2 linked regions of the Neodiprion lecontei genome follow. The protein of the gene in region 2 purifies or fractionates together with the protein of the main gene of each other region. This does not show direct contact. Links are inferred from orthologs where the notes say so. Each region holds a gene or a part of one and is shown on either strand. Other genes may lie near its edges.

Evidence for each region. Proteins that work in one complex are often made in the same cells at the same time.
Region 1: the proteins of transmembrane GTPase Marf (region 2) and E3 ubiquitin-protein ligase parkin purify together in Drosophila melanogaster (affinity purification with western blotting; 3 studies listed by BioGRID). This does not show direct contact. The link is inferred for Neodiprion lecontei from reciprocal best matches to the Drosophila melanogaster genes Marf and park.

What each region holds. Positions count from the first base shown.
Region 1 is NC_060260.1:36,826,658-36,833,292, reverse strand, and holds E3 ubiquitin-protein ligase parkin, read left to right. Parts: upstream 1-2,993; 5' UTR 2,994-3,202; coding exon 3,203-3,460; intron 3,461-3,593; coding exon 3,594-3,807; intron 3,808-4,011; coding exon 4,012-4,381; intron 4,382-4,465; coding exon 4,466-4,667; intron 4,668-4,770; coding exon 4,771-4,947; intron 4,948-5,035; coding exon 5,036-5,170; intron 5,171-5,243; coding exon 5,244-5,328; intron 5,329-5,463; coding exon 5,464-5,573; 3' UTR 5,574-5,702; downstream 5,703-6,635. UniProt on the Drosophila melanogaster protein: E3 ubiquitin-protein ligase which accepts ubiquitin from E2 ubiquitin-conjugating enzymes in the form of a thioester and then directly transfers the ubiquitin to targeted substrates, such as Paris, Marf, Opa1, Miro, pnut, Septin1, Tom20 and porin.
Region 2 is NC_060261.1:40,125,266-40,135,769, reverse strand, and holds transmembrane GTPase Marf, read right to left. Parts: upstream 7,196-10,504; 5' UTR 7,175-7,195; intron 6,875-7,174; exon of another isoform or gene 6,748-6,874; intron 6,724-6,747; exon of another isoform or gene 6,521-6,723; intron 6,203-6,520; exon of another isoform or gene 6,171-6,202; intron 5,652-6,170; 5' UTR 5,540-5,651; coding exon 5,362-5,539; intron 5,288-5,361; coding exon 5,161-5,287; intron 5,054-5,160; coding exon 4,660-5,053; intron 4,587-4,659; coding exon 4,479-4,586; intron 4,221-4,478; coding exon 4,200-4,220; intron 3,538-4,199; coding exon 3,384-3,537; intron 3,305-3,383; coding exon 3,166-3,304; intron 3,018-3,165; coding exon 2,704-3,017; intron 2,607-2,703; coding exon 2,311-2,606; intron 2,222-2,310; coding exon 2,057-2,221; intron 1,972-2,056; coding exon 1,775-1,971; intron 1,564-1,774; coding exon 1,359-1,563; 3' UTR 149-1,358; downstream 1-148. Other genes in the region: caspase Dronc, read left to right, coding at 8,452-8,589, 8,938-9,170, 9,270-9,549, 9,861-10,099, 10,276-10,504. UniProt on the Drosophila melanogaster protein: Mitochondrial outer membrane GTPase that mediates mitochondrial clustering and fusion.

The DNA.
Region 1 (6,635 bases), on a different chromosome or scaffold from region 2:
AAGAGGCTCTTGGTAAAACCTTATAAAGGCTAAGAGCTAGTACAGCTGAAAAATTTAAGTTCTTTTAAACCCGTCAACTTACTATACCAACTTCTTTATTAAATATTTATATTCCATACCTCAGTCATTGAAAGCTCGCGAATACAGACTAAAAGTTACCTAAGCATCATGAAAATAACACCGAAAGCTTTTTGTACTTCCCGAATTTTCCCCATTCACAACATAAGCTGTGCAGGCTTATCACCTGGTGCATCAGGGACTTTGCAGGCGTAATGCCCAGGCTGCTTGATTCGAATATTTAATCCATATTCATGCTTATATTCATTATTCAAACTCACTTGTCTAGCTTCAGACGATTCTGGATCTATAAATAGGTGTACATCTGCTTGGGTGTGCAAATGATTGTCTCTCTTTGGTTTTGACGGTTCGTCTTTACTCTGCATCATGAGTAACCAGTCCGTGTCTATCTGAATATTTGGTTCTTCGTCGGGAACTTGAGTTCTGATATTGTATATCTGGTCCCAGTCTTTATAGCGACAGTACTTATCCAGCTCTGGCATTCCAGGGTCTTGGAAAAATAAAACGTTCTTATGCACTGCTGGTACAGGAACTCTGTCCGCTGCGCATTTCTCACACAGAGTTGGGTCGGGCTGTGAAATAATGCAGGCAATAAAGCAAATTGTAGTTCGAGTGAGATTATAAAAGCATTACATTTTTGATGCACAAGTCAATTCTACTTACATGATAATCCAATCTGTGATCTGATTCTTCTTTTACACATATCGGCTTACAGTTTGAATCTACTGAGGAGGTTTGTTCGGAACTGTTTGATAACGAGGATGATAATTTACCGCTGTCTGAGAGACAAGTATCGTTTGATTGCGTTGTGGTTGAGGTCTCACGTTTTGTCGACAATTCACTTCCTTTACTGTCATCACTAAGACTTTGACTGGAGCAGAAATCCAGAACATGCCTAGGCCCACAAGGGCGGATCATCGGTGTTTCGAATGACATTTGTGATGGATCATGGGGAGAGAATTTATCTGTGCTACTTTGCAAGTCACATCGCATTGGTGAGTCTTTACTAATTTCCGATTCACCTCCGCAGAGTGAAGGTTTGTCCTGATATCCATTACCGCAGACATTTGTACTGTCACAAAGTGCGTTACTAAAAAACCAATACACAAATATTTTTGCATCTCCGTGGGGAACTCGAATATCGTAAATTAATCAGTTAGACTAGAGACCCTTGGAGATTAAATTCTTTAGTGGAATATCGACTAACTTATTCTTTGGACACGTCGAAATTTCAGTAGACGGTTTCTCTGCAGGTTCGTTCCCACAAACGTTCAATTTTTCTTGACAAATTGTCGTATAGGATGAATTGTCTTCACATAAACCTCCATCTTCCTTGATACATCGGTGCTGCTTCTTTGATTTACATTTTGTGGATTTCTTGCCATATTTATACCGATAATTACTGTTATCATTTTGTCCGCAACATGACAGCAAATCCACACTGACGTCGCTATCCTCTTCTTTGCTGTACAATGAATCTATGCAACATAGAATTTTACTGTGATGATTGCTTGGATTTTCTATCAAACATTAAGCATTATTTCTCAACCCTACAGCGTTCGCTTGCGTAAGTAATTTGATTATCTTACCTCCACAAATCTTGGGACAGCACGTATCAGAAGAATCTGATGGATTTATTCCGTTACTAGAATTGCACACAGAATCTGAATTATCGGAGCTCTTTTCTGTGTCTGATTTATTGTCGACAGTTGTTTCGGAAAAATGTTGACAGGTGCAAAATAGTTGCTGGTCTTGCGGTGCGAGAAACCAATTCATGACGTTTGTTTTGAAATGCTCCGGTGTCCAAATATCTTCGGTGTATAATCTTGGGCAGCAGGCTTGCCATGGTTTTGCAGGTTCTGCTTTTACTGAGGAGACTTGAAAGAAGTTTTTTTTTTGTTACTTTCACACAACCTTAGAAGCAGACAACGTAATTTTTACTGACCCTTGTCGGATGATTGTGCTAACTTTGTTTGAACAGATTCTATCATCTCTTCAAGAATGCGATACCAGGTTGACGGAAACACATATTTTCGACTGCATCTTTTTTCGATCATCTGTTTCCTCATCTCTTCTGCGTACATGGCTTTCAGAGATTCCATTAATCTGATACATTCTCTTTCACTCACACCAAGCAAGTTCAATCTCCTAGCTATTATACCGTACGCCTTCATCCTTCTCGATCGATCTTTGTAAAATGAATGCGTAGGGTCCCATAATATAGGATGAACTTTGTAGATGCTTAAAAACCTTAAAATGTTCACATCGGTCCACTTTTTGGCATCAGGGACAAAGCGCAGCCACCACTTTTGGTTCTTTTCAATCACATCTGATTGAGGTTTCGCTATTTTCATATCTTCACTGGTGGAAATTTTGAACTTTATTTTACCAAAACAATGCTATCGGATGATAATTATGAAGCCAAGAAACGTAGAGACGAAATATATTACAGAGTTCAGTGCCTACTCGGCATTGAAACCGTGATTGAAACTATCCTCTTTGACCGAAACAACCGAAATTCAGTGGGTTGCTACCGTTATACTAGCGTTTTATTTGCTCACGGGATCGGCACGAAACTCAAATATTGTTAAAACTCCCGCATGGGGAAGAATTGATTGCAAATTCATAATTCAATCGAATAATTAAGGTAACGTACATAGTATATACTTTGGCTAGTAACAGATCGGTATATAAATATTCATCTGTACAGGTCTGAGCTACCTGATTTGAATCGATGCTGCGTGAAATATTGGGTGCATTTTATTTGTCACGTTTTGAAAATGAAAGCTTTGGAAAAAGCAGCCGGTTGGCTGATATTCGAATATTGACCAATCAGGTGAGTCTTTCAACCATTTCATTTTCAAAAGATGGCGAATAGAATATGTCCTTTATCAGCCCCAACAGTCAAGTGCTGCACTCTGCGTCTGACTAGAATATATCTCGCACCTAATTTGGGTTCGAATGGTTCGAAATGATTTTTTGAAGGTTGTAAAATATACGTATTTGACGCAGAAAATACGCTTCATATGCAAACATGTACTCCTCCACATTTATCGCGATAACATTTGGTGTTACCGTAAAGCAAAATTCTACGTAGAACTGCTTCGATATTAAAGACTCTATAATGAGTTTTCTGTTCAATCTTCTGAAGGGTGCCTTTTTGAGAATGTTGCAGTTGATTTGGTTCGGAAAACGAAAGATATCGAACTCGTTGAGTATCTACGTGAAAACTAACACGGGAAATACGCTCTCCATTGATTTGGATCCGAAATGGGACATCAGAAACCTAAAAGAGATCGTCGGGCCTCAGCTTGGCATATCTCCCGAAGATATCAAGATCATATTTGCTGGTAAAGAGTTGCACAATTCCACGATAATAGAGGTATGTTAACAATCGTATAATCAGCAGTAAAGTGTCGTTTTATTACGGTACAAAATTTAGTTATTAACAATTGTGTTTTTCTACCTAACCTCAATTCTAATCTGAAATGTAAATATTTTTATCTGTTGTCTAGGAATGCGATCTTGGTCAGCAAAGTATTTTGCATGCCATAAAATTGCCACCCGGAAAAAATCGCCTTAATAGAAAAAAAGATACTAAAAATCTTATCGAAGAATCTATAGATGAAGGATCGGAAGCAAATGAAAGTGGAAGCAAACCTCTGAACGAAACTTTGATCGACTTACCATTGGAGGATTCGGACCGTCATGAAAATCACAGCGAGCAGGGTATTCATACATTTAGTTTTCCCCATTGCAATGACTTTTGTAGGATTAAAGTCTTGACGATAGAATTCTCGAGTAGTAGATTTCTTGTTGAACGGAACAAAAAAATTGGTCAATATATGTTTACGTAATTACACTGCAGTGTTTTTAAGCTGTAATTATTATCACAATACTCTTTTGAATTTGGTGGTTGTGATGATTTTACAGAGCAGCAACAAGCCCGTGCCCATTTTTACGTTTACTGTTCGCTGCCATGTAAATCAGTGGAAGCAGGAAAGCTGAGAGTGAGATGCGCGACATGTGGTAGCGGGGCTGTGACTGTGGATCGAGACCCTCAGTGTTGGCCTGACGTGCAGCAGCCTCGTAGAATAACTGTACATTGTGAGAATCACGATTGTCAGACATTACTGTCTTCCTTAGCACAGAAGGATGAAGGTACTCCTCAAGTGAGATACGCGCAGTTTTATTTCAAGTGCGCCAATCACGTGAGTCTTGGAGAAAAAGATGAGGCGGTACCGCTTTATTTGATTAAACCAAATCTGAGAAATGTACCTTGTCTGGCTTGCACGGATACAAGGTAAAGCTTTGATTTGGCACATAAATAATTGGTGTAGAAGTAAACGTAAGAAGAATTAATACAAGCTTTGTTAATACTTTTCAGGGACACGGTACTGGTTTTCCCTTGCGAGGCTGGACATGTAACCTGCCTGGACTGCTTCCGGGACTATTGCGTGGCTCGTCTGCGGGATCGTCAGTTTGAGTTTGACGACAACCACGGATACTATACCTTGCCATGTCCGGCTGGTTGCCAAAATTCGCACATATCCGAAGTTCATCACTTCCGTCTTCTCTCACCTGAGCAGGTACAGCGGTACCTAAAATTATTGGCCTCTTCTACTTTCACCGTCACACTCATTCCATAAATATCATTGGATTACCAATGAATGAATGCAATTCAAATTACAGTATGAGCAGTACCAACGATTTGGAACTGAGGAATACGTTCTAAGGGCAGGAGGACTTCTGTGCCCGAGGCCTGATTGCGGAATGGGAATTATTCCACCTGATCAGACTGATGAGGAGCGTAGTCGATCCCCGGATGAGGACGACTGTCGTAGAATTCAATGTATTGGTGGTTGTGGGGTACGTGATAAAATTGTTGCCAGTACTCGAGGACATTTAGCTCTTACTCACTGCTGAAAAACCACTATAATTCAGTGTTTTCCCATAGTATGTTTTCTGTAGGCGATGCTTGCAAGGTTTCCACGTAGGTGAATGTGACTCACAACAGCCTACGACGTATTCTTCTACCTCCGCCGTCTCCTGTCTTTCAGGCTATGCAATTGATCCTCTGCGAGCTAGCGAGGTAAGTAACACTATTTTTATTTACTTATTTGAATCGATAAACAATCACACAGATAACCTAATTTTAATTCCAGGCCAAGTGGGACGAAGCGAGTAAGAAGACCATTCAAATATCGACGAAACCATGTCCGAAATGTAGAACACCGACTGAACGAGATGGTAAGCTTATTCACGTATATTTTTCAGTCTTACCTTATTAAGAGTTTTTAACTCGCTTGCCCGTTATATTTGCCATAATTTGGATATGGAAATGATAATGAACTATTGAGATTGGGGAACAATAATGATTGGCAGGTGGCTGTATGCACATGGTTTGTACAAGAGCTGGCTGTAGTTTCCAGTGGTGCTGGGTTTGTCAGACGGAATGGACGAGAGACTGTATGGGAAGTCATTGGTTCGGATGATGTTCTGAAACTATTTATATCAGCAATTGTTTATGCTGTGATGGGATCAGGTTAATGCAACTTCGAAAGCCAGGTAAAATTGTGATAGGTATTTACCTACGTAGTGAAATAAATTGTTGTTCTTTTCAATTTTTTATTTTTATCATCAGAATACACCCTTTATGCCTCTATACCTGAAACCTCTCAATCGCCTACAGGCTGTACAATATTTACATGGTAATAAAAAATAAGAGCACTGAACACTCACGGTTTTATTATCATTATAGTAAATTTGTGTAAGTCGATGTTGAAAAATTTTCTAGGTATATCGGAAAGTGATAGGCGGCAAATTAACAATTCGCGTCTCTAGGATATGGATATTACCGTTACTACTTAAGCTTTAGGCAAACATACACTGTGTGTATCTGAGTATTTAATTATACAGTATAAGGACTTTACCGCGATAATAGCTTATATTATTATGGTAGTTCCTCCCAAAATGAGTTTTCTTACAATCGTTCTAAGAAAAAAGTACACACTTTCATAACAGTATTTTACATCAGCTATCAAAATTGAGTGAGCTTGACCGTATCAATCTCGAGATATTAATTGTCAAAGTTTCAATTATCTACACCTGACTTCCTATCTCTGAGAATCTTAATGAAAAATGAGTATGTTAAAGCATCGGACAAAAACTTCCCTCGCTGATTGTAATATATATTTCACTGTACCGTTTCAGAGTAATTTTAATCCAAAGTTGAGGATTTTACGGTACGTACGACGCGAGCCAACGAGAGTGAGAGAGACCGCCAACAAAGCTTGTGTACTTGAGGGGCGCATGTCTGTGTGTACGAAAATGGCAGGAACTACCTTAATGCTGTCCTGGGAGACGATAATCTTCTGTAATCCTATGCTAATTACCTATAATTATCCTATTCGTAGCCGTATCTTATTTACAGGCGACAAGAATTCGCCAGACATTCTTTCAAATGGACGGATTTTGTTCCGACTTACGTAGGTATTACTACCGACTTCAACTACCGTAAAATTATTGTAATTTACGTGTGTGTGCCTCCTCAATTG
Region 2 (10,504 bases):
TTGGTATTGAGGATAGTTTTTGTATTCTTCGTGAACCTAGGTCGTTGGATTCTGACAACTCGACAAATCGGGAACGTTCAGGATGGATATTCGGAATCCAACATATGTACACAGAGTTGACAATAGTATGGTTGATAGGAGTCTGGTATGCAATAATCAACTGTTTATTAATACGATTCTAACATACATTTAACACTCGTCCAATGAAATTTAATTACCTAGTTGAATTCAACAAAGTATTGGACAATGATATTGATTCTTCGATAATAGATTGCTATCATAATTTTTCAGTATATAAGTATAGTTCTTTCTTTACAATAGATCTAGGATTTGAATGATTATCAAAAAAAAAATATTAACATACATATCAATCACAATCTTGCGCTAATTTTAATAATTTTCTTTAGTTATTCAATTCTACACATACGAAGTGACTCGGTCCAAATAAGGATACGAAATTATACTTAAAGACAGCATGAACTCACTTCTTTTGCAAAATGGAAGCTTGCTGTGGGGATGTATTAGATTAAGCTAGGTACTCTCTATCGCGTTTACGTACTTCTTAGGTTTTGAAATAGAAAAAGGGTCTATACATTGTTCATGCAAAGCTATATCCTCATTTCTTGAAGTTCTTTGCAGTTGTATCTATTCTTATATTATAATAATGAACTAGAGAAAACTTTCAAAGTATGCCAGCTATTGAAGTTCCCCTAATTTAAAATCGTGAGAAAGATCAATGCAATGTTTAAGATGCGTAAGATCTGAGAAAATCAGCTTGCACACAATTTTATGGTACCCGCAGAATTGGGATGTAATCACAAGGGTAATCACAATTTTATACACTCGATTAGTTCAAGAATGTGATTGATAAAATCGGTATTGATTAGTTGACCTTCAAGGTTCTGAGACTAGATATAACATTCCACTTACGGTATTCAAACTTCCAATGAATTTATGTATATACAGACTTCAATATGACGCTTACCTACAATTGTAATTTTTTTATATGTGCGTAATTGAACACTCCCAAGTGATTAATATCGTATTGCGGTAACTATTGAAAATCTAGCAACATACGTTAGATATATATGTTAGATAAAAGTTGACGTTGTCAGGTATGAATTATTGTATAACAACTTTCGTATACGTTTGTTTGTGTATAAAATTCTAAATAAAGCAAAATTCATTGATTTAATCATTGTTCTAAAAATGGTATAAAGATATGAGAGTATAATTGTCATACTGAATTAGGTATATATAAAAAACTCATCCTTCCAGCTGCTTATTGATAGATTTCTAAGATCAAGGAAGTCATCGAATACTTTAGCAGCCTCATTGATTTTTTTGCAAACTTTTTTTCAATTCAATGACTTTAAATAGGCTGCATCAAATAAATCAAGTTCATTAGCTAGATAATTGGCTTTGTTACGGAGGACCTTTGCGTTAGTTGCTGCTTCCTCCAGAGTACGAAGAGTAGTTGCAATCGTTTTAAGTTCCACGTCCATTTCGGACGTCGCCTCATCCACCAAATGACACAGACGAGCGAATGTACTCGATAACTCTCTGCACAGTAATAAAACAATTCTTTAGAATTTGTATTTCCGTAAAAAATTATTTGCTATTATACTACATTTGGTACGTTTGACTTTGACTATTCTGAAATGAAAAATGTACAACCAGAAGAATCAGAAATCAATATGCTGAGTACACTATAAATTGATGTTCATCCTGGAAATTATCCAGTTGACATAAATAAGTGAAAGAAAGAACTTACTGTTGTACTTGGTGACTACAGTTGGCAGATGTTAAGTCAACAATTAATCTTAGCTTTTTAGTTGCGTGGTTTACATATTGTTGCTTGAATGTTTTTTCTTTAGCTTTTTTTGTCCATGTTAACCTTTCGTATAGGTACAATGCTCCATAAACAGCACCAGTTACGGCTATGAGCCTCCACCCAACTGTTTTCAACATCTGGAATAGCATTTATTATGTCAATTCAAAATACAGAGTACTCTGAAATATAGTTAAAAAATCACCGTGGTCATTCAACACTTACAAAGCCAGCAACGAGTAACCCTCCCATAGTGCCCTGAGATGTTATTGAGGCAATTGCGACACGAGTTGCCAATGACCAGTCATCGCCTCTTGAGGGGATGCAAGTTGGACTTGTTACAAATTTCACCGAATCTATACTATCTGTAGGGGACATCAGTTGAGGTATCTATTGAAAATCAGAATAAAAGTTTTCAACATTATAATGTAATACACCATAGCTCAGACGGCGTGTAGAAGAAAGTGTCTTTGACTCACTGCTTGAGGATGATTAGAAATCGCTAGTTTGTGTCCTTGTTTTCCTGCAAATCTATTGATCAAAGCAGTGATTCCCCAAGAGAATCTAAACTCTAAATCCTCGTGGAAATCCGCGCAAAGATTGTCACAATTCAAGCGATACAAAATTTCAAATGGCTCTCGTCTCGGTAAAATATTAATCGACAATTGCTTTTTATTATCTGGTAGTAAACTAGCCATACGCTCGGTCATCTCACGTTGAGAATTTTCGATATTCAATGCTAACGCAGTGCTGAGTCTTGCACGTAGATTTGATCCTGCAATTACAAATGATATTTCAAAGTCAGTCGATATTGTATGGCACTTTACACTGAAAAACATGAGGCTTAAGTAAAAATGGAGACGAAGACTAACCTAATCCATTTTCAACGTGACTGTGAAGTTCTCTTTTATAAACATTTAGCACTAAAGGTTCTGGGTGAAATGGAACGCTAAACTCATCTACTAGTACAGCCAATCTTCTAATTTCTTCATTCAAAGCTTTCGAAACTCTTTGCTCAACGTCTTCAACCATACGGTGAATCTTGTCTTTCATTTCCTGGGTAAGCAGCATTAGTTGTTGTTCTGTGAAGTTCAATTTGTCATGTACTTCTTTCTTCACGGTCAACTGTGAAGAACGCATCTTTTGTGTTCGTTCAAGTATCTCATCTAGTGTCGATCGAATTTCCCTGAAATGAAGGTCATTTCAAGTTATATGCCGAGTTTAGTGTTCTTTCCATCTTTGGGGCTATACTTTACTGTCACTTTCTTGTAACTCAACAAATTTTCTATGAAAAAAAAAAAAAAAAAAAACGAGTGAAAATGATGATAACTCACATTGCAATATGTTTTCCTCGTTGGGAATGTTGCTCAAATTTAGTCTTCACCGCCGATTTTGAAATGCATTCCTCAAACTTACGTTCAAAGTCTTGAAATTCGAAATAACGATTTTGGAAACCATCCGCCAGTGCTCCATCTGTAATTTTTCATTGACTATTTGGTATATGAAATTGCACTAACTTAGAACAACTTATGTTTATTAGTAAAGAACTTACTATGAGCAGGTTGACCTCTTTGTTCTTGTAGTCGCGCTTGAAGTGTTTCTTTAGCAGATATAAAGAAAACTCTTTCCTCGGCATCCTTGGGTGTATAAACCTTCAGTTCTTTGGAAAGGAAATCGACAGCTCGTTCTTGATGTTGTGCCCTGACCTGTACAAAACAATTATGTGAACATGGCGACAGTTTAAATATTAATATCTGAGGTATAAGATGGTGACACAAATCAGATAAGTAAAATTCTGATAAGAAAGTTCCTGAAAATGTGTAAGTAAATGGCTACATCAGTAGAATTCTTTTGAGAAATAAAATAGAATTTAATTTGATTACATCTGAAGCAGTAATTTATTGGGAATTATAACCGTAGTTTACTGAGTAGTGAATCATTACTGCAATGGTGCGAAAAATCATACAGGAATGCAATGCAGCTGTGAAAATAAATTCTGGGAACAAAAAACTGAAAAATCGTTACAATTTGTAAAAATATAAATGATGTGACCAAATTCGTCTCATTTTTCGCGTAGGAAAGTGTTGGAAAAAAATTAACATGTCTCATAAAAAAAGTCACGAACAGAGTTTAATAGCATAAGGATTTTCAAATGTAACGAATATACCAAGAATAGAAAAATGTCTGATCCGGTAGCAATTAAAATCTAGAGACAACACAGACAGGGTATCGGAGAATCATCGCACGTATCTTGCATGCGTTAACCGTCATTTGAAAAAATGCTCTTTTTGTCTGTGGTCAGTGAATAATTTAACATTGTGCAAGCTTCTACCAAGTGATTACAGTTTTATATTAATGAAAGGCTTACCTCCCTTTGTTCATTGACCAGCTGAAGGAAAAATGAGACATTACTCCTTTTAAAACTGGGACTAACCAAAAGAAAAAGAACAATAACGACCTAGGGACTTGGTAATTTAGAACTAATTTAGAACAAAACATCAATAATAAAAAATGGTGTTGTAACTTCCCTATATAGTATCTATCATGTTTTTGTTTGACATGAATCTCAACAAACCCGATGTAACAAGAATCATGACTGAAACATAGTTAGGTTTACCATCATTATTAATGGAGTTGAAGTAGTTACCTGATCAAAGAATTCTGGTTCCGAAGCAGAGGCGTCCCAGCGATTGTTGAGGATGAAAATGTTGGGCTTGGACAGCTTCGTAGAAACTTTATGGAAAAAATTTTTTTCCTAATTGTAAAGAAAAAAGAAAATGATAATTCACATTGATTTCTTTACAACAGTACATGTTTCAGAAACTTACAGTGACCATAAGAGTGGATTCTGCATTTGCGACTAAAACAAAGACATCTGCATCCAGACAATGCTTATCAATCCACTCATCGAGATTGGGTGTTACGTCGACACCAGGACTATCGACAAATACCACATCGTCTCTTAACAGTAGACATTTTTCTCTTGGCCAGAAAATTCGTACCAAATGACTTTCACACAATTTTTCTTTACACAACGCATGACCAAGCTGACCCACGGATTGTACGGGCTGTTTTTCTGTAGATCCTTCAGTGATCAGGTAGGATTCACCGTTGTCTGACCCTTCAACTTGAAGGAAACAATTTGTGGTATGTCCAATGCCACTTGGCAATATTTTATCTCGCAACATTGCATTTATGACCGTACTTTTTCCATTGCTGGTTCTATTAAGGAGTAAATTATCTCTTTGTTGATGATTATAGATTGGATGGTTGAAAAAAAATTTTTTTGCAAGTGTGACATTTTTACCAAAGTAATATGTTATGCTTACCTTCCGAAAAAAGCAACTTTCATATGATCTCGTTTAAGCACATCTCGTATTGCGTGTACTTTATAGACATAGGATTCAATTGTTTCTGCTTCTTGTGTATTAACGATATCACGATCATCTCTTAAGGCTGCGGAATGATTGAGTTGAGTCTACAAGTATCGAAGAAAACCTTAAACTTTATAAGGATCATTTAAAACTTACAATGCATGAATCCGACTGCATCTTGAACGTAGTCATCTATCTCTACGAAGATATCGTTGATTTTCTTTTTAGCCTTGACAAAGATCTGCAGAGGAGAATTATCAGTTCTGAGGTCGTTCGATCGGTGCTGACCATCTCCCCCAATCATGGATATCGTACGATTGATATAAGCAGCCATTTTTGCTTATATTTTGTTGGACAACGATTTAATCAGCAAAGTAAGGGTAACACAGTGCATATACAAAGCAGACGGGATTTTCAGATGCAGTGCACACAGCATGCAGGAACAACTGAAAACAATAAAATAGCAGAACAATAAACTGGCTAATAAAGGATCACGTACTAGATACATATACCATTACTGCTTTTCAGCACAAATCATTATCACATGTATGTCTGTATCCATTGTTTCAATAATTATTACTACGTTTTTAAACAGTAATAAGGAAAAACCTAACTCGACAAATTGAAATGTTTCTTAAACACGTGAATATTGCATAGATCAATCTGAGTAAGAGATGCAGACGTACTTAATGCTAATTAGTGCTAAGTGAAAAAATTGATAATATAACTAAAATCGGACTACCATCTAAGAATAGCGACAATATATTGAGACGAGATACTACATAAATCAATGCAATAAAATCTTGATAGGATGAACAAGAATAATACTAACGCATTAAGAAAAATAAGAAAATAAAGCTACCACAGAATGTCAATGGTGCTACTACAAATCAGACTAGAATGCTAAAATTCTGGACTAAATTGCTTGAAAAATAAATACTTCAGTTTTATTAAAAGGTTGAAACCTGTTTATTCCGATGCATCAGTATGCTTTTCTCTGTGGAAAAAAATTTTGTTGATTGAAGAGATTCTTAAATGTAGTTAATTTATACTACATAAGCTTTGTAATTTTTATTAGGTAAGAAGTTTTAAGTAATGTAGATGAAAGCTGGGAAAATCGAGGTTGTAGAGCTTGTCTCATGATACGCACTGTTCTTGCAATTGCGCAGTTCTGTACAACACATAGGTCGCAAAATGTGAAATGCGTTTTTGGGCGAGATTGTGAATGATGTAAAAGCGAACCTAACCTAACCTAGCCTAACAAGGTCAGAAAAAAACGAATATTATGATTGAAAATACGAAACTGACAACGTACAAGATTCGCAATGTTCCAAGTACTTGTTTATTAATCTCGACGAAACTTAGTGAATTGACATTACGCTTACAATAAACTGAGTTTACTCGTTAAGTCCACAATAAGCACACACCACTAAAGGTGACTACAAGCCATCAACGAAAGAACAGGCGACTGCAAACAAGTCGCTCACTGACATGTGTGCCAACAGTAGTCAAATTTCGATCTAAATCTTTTAGCAATCTGACCTTTGACTCATTTTTTAAGCACGGTTTGCGGAAGCTGCACCGCCGGACTTAATCTTTCCGTTTAACCTCCCACTTTCTAGATGCATATCTCTCAGCATCTTCAATCAGGTTCAATCTCCGAGATGATCTCTAATTAAGAAGGGGAAAAGAAAGATCTGAATTATGTGAGGTTGCCAATGACCGTCGGTGAGTGAACTTGGAGCTCGTCGTGTCACCTGCACGCACCTGTTACGTCACAGAAAGGTATATATTGATATACATAGATATATTTCGTTGGATTTAATCATTATTAACGTCTATTGTTGTCAAGCTGTTTGATTACAATAATCTACGAACGCGGTGTTCTGAATTGTTGTCGAGATACGATCTCACCACCAGATTATCATTCACCGGTTCAACTCAACAAAGAAAAATCTACCGTTCTTACATTTGCGTAAAATGTCGCAGGTATAACCAGAGATGAGTAGGGAGATCCCGGAGATCTCCAACGCTCGGCTTTTCGTGATACCAGCTAGGTTGGAGCGTCGACGAGACACCTAGGCGGCCACGCACCGAAGGTGGCCCACAATCGTGTATATATACATATACTCGGTCGCTCGAACAAGTGGTTGCCAATCGCATCCTTGTCCCCGCTCGCACAGATGTTTCCAGGAATGCAAGAATTGGGATTTTTTTGTTTCAATTATGAATGTCAGCGAATAAAAGTATCTCCAGATTTGATAAATTTTGAACCAAAATAATTAACCATTCCCAGCCCGAATACTTTTTTTTTTTTTAATAAATATTATTTTTTTATTGATATGAAAATATTTGACGCCTGGTGTTCTCGAATATTTGTACACGCAGTCTATGGAAAAATATACGAAGCCAGCTCGATAACATTTATGCAAAATGTGCAATGGGCAAGTGGTTGGAGGAAATTTTTTTTTTCTCGAACTGAATCTTCCAGAAAACCATCAGCGAATTCCAAGCAAGCTCCATAAACATACCGAGCAAACGCGCGATCACGGACGTAGCTGTGGTGTGGGTGGGATTTCTTTAATTATTTTTTCCCTAATCCTGAGGATATTTCCTATCTGAGACCACTGTCAATAGGCGAGATTCCGGAAATCATAAAATTACCTTTTTTTCTAATTAAAAAGAAAATCACATAAGGCCACTAAGAGCTCGAAATAAAAATCTGAAAAAATTAGAGATGTTTTTTTATATTCGAAGCCATTAACGTAAAAAATCCGTTTAACGTAGATATACATTGTATATGGGGCATTCCACGTCAAATTTGCAACCCATGTACCTCACCCTCTTCGATTTTGATAATTCTTTAGTATGATGTTGCAACCACGGTTTCAATCGACTTGAAACAGTGTCGGAATTTTTTGCAGATTTCTTTAGCCACCACTGAAACAGAAAAAAATTGTAAAACCAATTCCGCAAAAGCTTCTTTTAAAATTCTGAAAAAATTCACACTGATTTTATCCCAATTCGTGCATTCCTGGAAACATCTGTGCGAGCGGGGATAGGGATGCGATTGGCAACCACTTGCTCGAGCGACCGAGTATATCTACATATACACGATTCTGGGCCACCTTCGGTGCGTGGCCTCCTAGGTGTCACGTCGACGCTCTAACCTAGCTGGTACCACGAAAAGCCGAGCGTTGGAGATCTCCCTACTCATCTCTGGTGTTACAAACATTTCTTTTCGCAATGAACGAAGAGGACCGTAAAAAATTAAGAAAAAATTTGGGCAAACTAGTTGAGGAAATAGATTGGCGTGAAATATTTCCATTGCTACTGCAACACAAAATTTATGGCGAAAACTATAAAAAGATTCAGAAGTGGCAGGTAAGAATGCGACACAAGATACGTATGCTATTCTCCTTTGCATATCACATTAATAATTTTACCCTGTGTATTATTCACTTCTCTCTCTTTTGTTTCCAATTACACCATGTATTTTCTGAGAGAAAGCACTGAAATATGTTTTTATTTTTTGCTTGAATGATTCATCTGTAGAAACGTTTCCATGTATCTCGTTCCATTTACATTTATACTGAAAATCTACAGTATACGTCACTTGGACTATACCATTTTCAGTACTGACAGTACTTTCAGTCAATTTCCGAACACGCCCTTAGTCTATGATTTGTCTGCTTGTTAAATGTATTATTTCTGTGTATTTCTAATGCTTAGAAACGCTTGGATGACATGGATAATAATCGCGAAATATATTTGACTATAGAGTCACGTGGTCCTAGAGCATTCGACAGTTTTGTTCAATGTTTACGAGAAGTGAATCGCAATGATTTAGCAAATTTACTAAAACCAAATGAAGTTGACAATAAAAGTGAAGAAACAATTCCAGAAATTAATAGGAATATTGTTGACCCTCTGAATAACCAAGTAATCCGAAACGAATTTTTTGAGTAAGTACAACTTGGACTAAGGAGTGGAGTATATGAAATGTATCAGGAAAAAAATTACCCTTATGATATTATACATAATTATTTCCATTTTCTCTACTGGCATAGGGAAGATGACTATTATAGGAAGCTTCAACATGTCGAAGAACCTCTAAGAATTCGTGTGAAGAAATCAACTAAGTTAATGGAGACAAAGAATGATAATATTTTGAATTATGCCATGTTTAGTAACCCTCGTGGCTTGGTCTTGATTATCAATAACATATTGTTCACTGAAGGAGCCAAGGAAAGGGCTGCTGCCAAACACGATGAGGACAATTTAAAAGAATTGTTTGAACAAATGGGTTTTCAAGTTATAGTTCGGCAAAACTTGACACGAGAGGTAAGTTACTAACATTATCAGATTAGTACATATTTGATATTTGTAGTAAGAATGGGTAGTAAAGACGTGATTAAATGAAAATGTGGCTGAATAAAATTGTTCGTACTTGACCAAGAATGATTCAATGTAAATTCGTAGAATAACATTAAGAACTTCAACCTTAATCAAAGTGATTATGTTACTGATTACGCCATGGAGTATTTATTAAGGACATTCATTTAAAGACTTCATTCTTTTTATCTCTGAAATCTTATATTTTTTACTGCATAATTTTTCCCATTCATGTTTTGAATTAAACAATAAAATTGCAGAAAATGCTAGAAGAAATTTCAGCATTCGCCATGAGACCAGACTTACGTCATGTTCATTCAATGTTTCTTATAATTATGAGCCACGGTAATGAACATGTCGAAGACCATCGTTCGGAAAGTGTAGTATGCGGAACAGACAATAAAATGATAACTGCATTTGAGATTTTTGAATTTTTCACTACACGAGCATGTCCAAACATGTCTAAAAAACCAAAAATTTTCATTTTTCAGACTTGCAGGTATTTATTTTACTTGAAAATGATTCTATTACTTTAAATAATACTTAATTAACTAATGGTTATAATACAATCATGCTTAGATTTTTTACAAGCAATGTTCAAGGAACAGTGACATACTTCTTATCCATGTATAAATGAAATATGATTTTCTTGTACTCACAATCAATATTTTTCAGGGGGCAAAAAGAACAGCGCATGGTGGAATCGGACGAAGTAGGCATCAGCAGACATGAAATAGATACGAGTCAGATGACACCAGAAAATCCATCTGCACAACCGATAGGATCCCGAGAATATTCGGATATGCTTGTTGCTTTTTCTACTTTGCCTGGCTTTGCGTCTTACCGGGATACGCTAAATGGAAGCTGGTTCATCCAGGCCTTTTGTGAAGTCGTGATGAACCAT